Xenopus tropicalis: one gene and its partner. The protein of the gene in region 2 purifies or fractionates together with the protein of the main gene of each other region. This does not show direct contact. Links are inferred from orthologs where the notes say so. Each region holds a gene or a part of one and is shown on either strand. Other genes may lie near its edges.

Evidence for each region.
Region 1: the proteins of limk2 (region 2) and ttc1 purify together in Homo sapiens (affinity purification with mass spectrometry; 3 studies listed by BioGRID and IntAct, counting the BioPlex papers as one, with this or other methods). This does not show direct contact. The link is inferred for Xenopus tropicalis from reciprocal best matches to the Homo sapiens genes LIMK2 and TTC1.

What each region holds. Positions count from the first base shown.
Region 1 is NC_030679.2:16,155,459-16,159,293, forward strand, and holds part of ttc1 (tetratricopeptide repeat protein 1), read right to left. Parts: intron 3,421-3,835; coding exon 3,308-3,420; intron 2,787-3,307; coding exon 2,750-2,786; intron 1,719-2,749; coding exon 1,570-1,718; intron 1-1,569.
Region 2 is NC_030677.2:152,025,299-152,027,925, reverse strand, and holds part of limk2 (LIM domain kinase 2), read right to left. Parts: coding exon 2,564-2,627; intron 2,429-2,563; coding exon 2,265-2,428; intron 1,753-2,264; coding exon 1,578-1,752; intron 1,475-1,577; coding exon 1,388-1,474; intron 745-1,387; coding exon 616-744; intron 331-615; coding exon 274-330; intron 190-273; coding exon 124-189; intron 1-123. UniProt on the Homo sapiens protein: Serine/threonine-protein kinase that plays an essential role in the regulation of actin filament dynamics. Acts downstream of several Rho family GTPase signal transduction pathways.

The DNA of each region.
Region 1 (3,835 bases), on a different chromosome or scaffold from region 2:
GGTGTAGAAAGGACTCTTTACCCATGTTAGATTTTTCAGAATGTGTACTTTCCAAAAATATAGAGTTTTTAGGGGTCACCCTACATTTCTGCAGCTTCTACCCCTCATAAAACTTCCATGTGTTTATAAATTAGGTAAAGGTAAGCCATAAAATTAGTGTGCACAAGGTATATTTGGGGGTCTCTAAGTGCCATGTGCTTTGATAAACCTATGTACAGTGGGCATCAAACTGTTCAGTGGACCCCTGGTGTTCATTTTTAGGGTGTTTTATCTTGGTACTTAATGCTATGTGGGAGATAAGATGCTGGAAACTGGAAGCTTTGAGTGGATTTTTGGAAATGTTATCAAAATTGCCAACTTTAGGAAAGCTTTGCTGCTTGGTACTTTGGAGTAGAAAGACATGGGTACCCATTTTAGATTCGGGGGAATGTGTACTTTCCAAAAATATATGACTTTCTGGGGTGAATGTACTTTTTACTAGCATTATCCCACATATAATTATGTAAATGTGTTGATTTTGCAGAAGCTGAAATGACAGAAATGATAGATCATATGGGGGTATGTTCACATTGGGGCCCCTACATGCCACATACTTAGGTAAACCTATACATATTGTGTATCAAACTGTTCAGTGGACCCCTGGCGTTCATATTTAGGGTGTTTTATTTGGTTACTTTATGACCTTTAGGAGATAAGATACTATAGACTGGAAGCTTTGAAGCGATTTTTAAAAAATTTCACAAATTTTGATAAAAACCAATAAATTTAGGAAAGCATTGCAACTTGATAGTTTGGAGTAGACAGACAGCTGTGCCTATTCTGGATTCCCCAGAATCTGTTCTGGGATGAACTTTGTTAGCGGAATTTTTGGCCTTAAAATCTTAAGTATGCAGCTTTCTGGAGCAGTGCTTTGGAAATCTGGTAGTGTACTGCTGGAGGTTTTTGACCTATACAAGTGAGAAATCTCCATAAAACTATATATATTTGGTATTGGCACGTTCAGGAGACATGGGACTTTCCAAATCAGGTGTATTTTCATGCATAAAATAATTTTTGTTTCTGGTATATGTGTTTATATTATGGAAAATATTTTTTTTCATTTTTTTAGACATTTAGAAGCCTATATCTTGTTACAAAATTGGAATTACACAAAAATTCTACCATATTTTAAAAGCTTAGGTTGTCCTGAAAAAACGATATATTGTTTTGTCCAAAACAGCTGGCAGTGAAAGGGTTAAAATACCAAGAAACCTTAAAGGGGCGGTTCACCTTATGTTATAGAATGCCCCATTCCCTAGCAAGTTTGCAATAGATCTTCATTATACTTTGTAGGTTTTGCCTTATTTGCCTTCCACTTCTACATCTTTTCAGATTTCAAACTGGGGTCACTGACTCCAGCAGCCAAAACACTATTGCTCCGAGACAATTTTACTATTGTTACTTTTTAATCCATATCCTTCATTTATACACTCTCCTATTTTTATTCCAGTCTCTTATTCAAGCCACTGCCTGGTTGCTAAGGTAAACAAGACCCTAGCAACCTGAGCACAAAGCCTGCAGCCAACTTACCATACAGGCTTCTCTGGCTGGATTAGCAGATGGATCCTTTTCCAGAACAGATTTATAGTCTGCCAGAGCTTCATCTAATTTATCAGTCTTCTCGTACAACTCTGCTCTTCTCAGCAATGCACGGATGTAGTCAGGATTAAGCTCTATTGCTGAAATTATACAGGAAAAGGCAGGGCCTAAGGTTACCTCAGTTCAGTTAGTTCATTTCTATTAAAGGCAAAGAACACCTCCCACCCCCTTCTTTGAGATGAGTTCATTCAGTCTCAAGTGCCAAAAAGAAATATACATATATTGCTTCAACATTCAGCAGATTTGGTGGGGGAGCCATGATAGTCTGCCTCTGACTTGCAGTGACTAAATTCTCAGCTCCACCTTAGGCCAAAGCTCCAGATAAGGCCAAATTTGATTTGGATGGTAAACTTTGATTGTCCTGTAGTTAATTTTCAACCTTATGCACATAATTAGTGACACCTTCATACAATTAAGAAACAATACTGAAAAAAAAAAAGTGTGGAAGTTAAATTTTACATATTAATATTTTCTTTTGGAATAATGAAACAGTCAGCCACGCTTTTTCTTAAAGGATACGTTACCTTTTTATTTTAAAATCCACAAAGAGACTCTAAATAGCTCCTGGAATAACATAACTTTCTCCCTGAATTCATAATCACGTTTGTTTCTAAATCATAAGCTAAAAACTGCAGCTCATTTCAGCTACTTTGTTGTCTAGTGTGAAGCTAAACCTCCTTTTCTTTACTGCCTCCTGCTCCAATGGAATTCAAATCAATCAGGCATGTGCAGCAGGCACCTCTATAACTATCTTCATACTCAAACAGAGAAAAAGAGCTCAGAAAAGGGGGCAGGGATCTACACTAGACTAGGTAGTAGCAGAAACTAACTGAAGTTTTCAGTTTGCGATTTAGAAATGACTTTAATGCAGGTAATGTTTTTCTGGGCACTATTGAGGACCATGGCCCATGGGGAGATTAGTCGCCTGCGGTTAATCCTGGCTGCAGCAGGCGACTAATCCTAAAATGCCTTCTCACCAGCGATTCACTTTTTTCACTTTTTCAGGTTCCTTCTGCAGGAAATGCTTTGCAACTGGGAAACCAGAAACAAAAAGTTTACATATTCTTTGAGTTTATTTCAAAACCTGGCAGACACTAAAGGAAACCTGTACCTTTTGAGCAGTCTTCTAATGCAAGATCATTCATGTTCTGTAAGAGAGAAACATATCAATGTCATTAGAAAAAGGGCATATTAAACATTAGACAGTAAATATTTTAGATAATATGCATATGTTGTCACACTAAAGCAAAGTAAAACCAGGTTTTGATCTTTAGCTCCAAAGGGATCACCAAAGCATTCTATATAGCGCTCTTTCCAGTTTTTCCCTAAAGAATGACTATAGTTTTCAAAGATTTTTTTCAGCATTTGATCCTGGGAAAGGTCTATACTTGCCCAGTATTTTTTTCCAGGCATTTATCCCTGAGGGAAATGTACCACTGCATTAAAGAAATGAGTTCTAGTAAACAGTCAGTGGTGAAATGAAGATAATAAATTTCACTTAGTTTAGTGTGGCCTAACTTGTTGCCATTGGTTCCTGGTGTGAAATAGATTCCCCACTAGGGAAAATAAACCAGCTTCGAGTACACAAATGGTGTAAAATCATTGCTATTATTTAATGTATAGGTCTTTTAGTGTATGCGATAATTAAAAAATGCCCTCATACATCTACCTGTCTCATTCTAGCAGCAGCCCTGTTCGAGAAAAGGATGGCGAGATCCTGGGAATAAAATGCCGGACACGTCTGAAGTGCTTGAGTGTATACAGTTTCAGCAGCAGGGTATTCTGGGACACAAAGCAGAGAGTATAATTACCTATATGCAGCTCAATTCTTATGCAGGTATCAGGTCTTTATAGAGGTGGTTTGCATTTAAATTAACTTTACGAATGTTATAGAATATTCCTTTCCTAGCAACTTTGCAATAAGTCATCATTTTTTTTTTTTTTTAATAGTTTTTTTTAATTGTTTGCCTTCCTCTGCTACATAATTCCAGCTTTCAAATTGGAGTTACTGACCAAGGCAGTCAAAAATTATTGCTCTGAAAGGCTACAATTTTATTGTTACTTTTTAATTACTTATCTTTCTATCCACTCCCTCTCCTATTTATATTCCAGTCTCTCTGGTTGCTAAGGTAAACAAGACCCTAGCACCAGATAGCTGCTGAAATTACAGACTGGAGAGATACTGAACAAAAAAGCT
Region 2 (2,627 bases):
AGACCCATAAGTTAAGAACCCTTCTAACTGAAAATGGATAGAGGAAAACATATTGTAGTGTATAATAAAGTTTCTTTAATTTAAATAGCAAAGAGACAATGGACAGTGATTTTATTTTATTACCAGTTTAATGAGGCAGTTGTGTGAGTTTAGGTCTCTGTGGATGATGCTCATAGAATGGAGATATGCCTTGAGGGAAGAGATCATTGTTACTTTAGGATACCTTACTCTTATTATTATTTTGGTAGAATAAATTCAGTGACAAGGCCTTACCATTCCACATGCAATATCCTTAGCAAATGAGACTTTCTGTTGCCAGGGACAGTAATCCTGTAACAGAAAGCAGAGGTTAGGGAAGAATTTATGAACTATTAGGGCATATTTATCAATGGGTGAAAGTGAGAGTTCATTCATTTCTAAATAAGCCTTAAAAAGCCCATAGAAATGAATAGATAAGTGGTGAACTTTCCCTTGGTGGACTGTGGCAAGCTCTTGATTAACCCTTTGATAAATATGCCCCAAAGTGTTTCAATACACATGCACTATAACTGTTGTTATAACACTTGTCCATACATGTGGCCTTTACATTAACATGAACTGATCCAATGTCCTTACCGCTCGCAGGTAATCCTTCAGCGTTCCACACTCAATGAACTCAGTCAATAGGTTTAATCTACCATCCTTGTAGAGAACCCCAATAAATCGCAGCACATTGGGGTGATCCAGAGAACGCATGACCTTTACCTGAAATACAACAAATAACTTTAACCCATATAAAAAACTAACATGCAAAGTTTTTCCAAAAATCTGAATAAATTAATGTTGGGCATCCTCCAGTGATTATAACTGCTTACCTGATACCCTGATCCAGTGCTCATGTTTGCTAAAAACTGCACTGGCACAGGGTACTATTGAAGAGTTCCAGACTAGCATCTTCTTTTTTCTAAACTCTCTCTACTGTGTGGTTGGGGTGAGCAGTAAAAAAAGTGAGAATCTGAACCTAAAAGCAAACAGGCGGCTATTCACTCTACTACACCTGCACCTGCCCCAGGCCACAGAGAAAAAAGAAGTGGAAGATTTTGATGTGGTGCTCCTACAAAAATACCCTGGATTAGTGCAATTTTCAGCAAACAGACGCACCATAATGGGGTCTTAGGTCAGCACTTATAATAACATGTGGCACCCCCAGTGTCAAAAGCAGTTTCACAACACAATCCTACCCCCTATGTCACATAAAAAAAGTTTTAGACATTCAGAATAAGTTATCACTGACTGGGATGTTATTCAGTAAGAGAAAATGAGTCAAAGGACTGAATACATAATGCTGTATTATGTTGTATTTTTCCCTCTAATTTTATGTCCACTGTAAAAAACAGTATTTACCTACCTCGGTTAAGAAATTTTTCTGTGTCTGTTCATCAAATTGTATTAATTCTTTCATGACCATTACCCTCCCAGTTGCTCTGTGTGTCACCTATAACCACAAAGAAAAGTTCAACTTAATTAAAAAAAAATGTATTAAATAAAGGAGACTCATATATTAAATACTGTCTTGTAGCATAGTGAATGGTGTATACCTTAATAGCACGTCCAAAGAAGCCCTTCCCCAGTTCCTCTCCATGCAGCAGTTCACATGGGCGAAAGATCTGTTGAGCGCCACCTACTCCACATCGCAGAGACTCGGAACGTGACACAGAGCGAGGATCTTTGGGACAGCAGGTTCCTGGGGAACGGGTGTTGCTATTACTCCGCCTGTACACACCAAATAAGGAGATAAAGAATTGAAATTAAGTGGATATTATTGCAGACTGCTGTTAAAAGTGAGGGGAGGAAGGGGATGCCCTGAAACCAGCTGTTCGTGGCAGAAGATTACTACAAGTATAATTAAGTCATATTATCTCGGATGGCCAGATCCCATCATTCTAACCTGATTAACAGACTTCTCATAAATGATATATATATATAGCCATCACTAAGGATATTTATTTTATTTTTTTTTAAAAAACTATTTAAAGTCAGCTAAAATAAGCCGCTCAGATAATCAACCATCCCCAATAGGTGTAATTACAAACAGCTAGAGAAACAATCAAGTAGCACATAGAGAACTACAAGTGCGCTAAATGTTTTGTTGCATAATAGTGAATAAGAGAAAGAGGGACCAGCAGAAAAGTTATCTACAGTACTGAAAACAGCAGGCTACAAAAGTAACATTAGGGAGGAGCTGTAGAGTACAGGATAGCACTGAGAGGCAGGCAGAGTCTGACCGGATGGAGCTGCGTTTCATTGGGCCTTCGGTGCTACCCCTTGCCTCTATGGAACGAAAAGAGGGAGATTTCGGGGGAGCATTATCCACTGGTAAGTTAGGTGGGGGATTGTGTTCTATTAGAAGCTGTAAGGTCCGGTCTGTTGAGCAAAGCAAATCATCAGCCTAGAATGGTTAAAGGAAGGGAAAAAGCTGTAAGTTAAGGGAATTTCACCAGTCCTGTAAAACCAACAAAGGGTAATTTTCTTTTCGATTTTTACTATTTTTGACCCTTTACAGAAGCAGACTTTTTGATCTAACCTCCTTTGAGCTCAGTGTGGTGACGGGGGATCCATTAATTTCCAGAATGCGGTCTCCCTGGTGC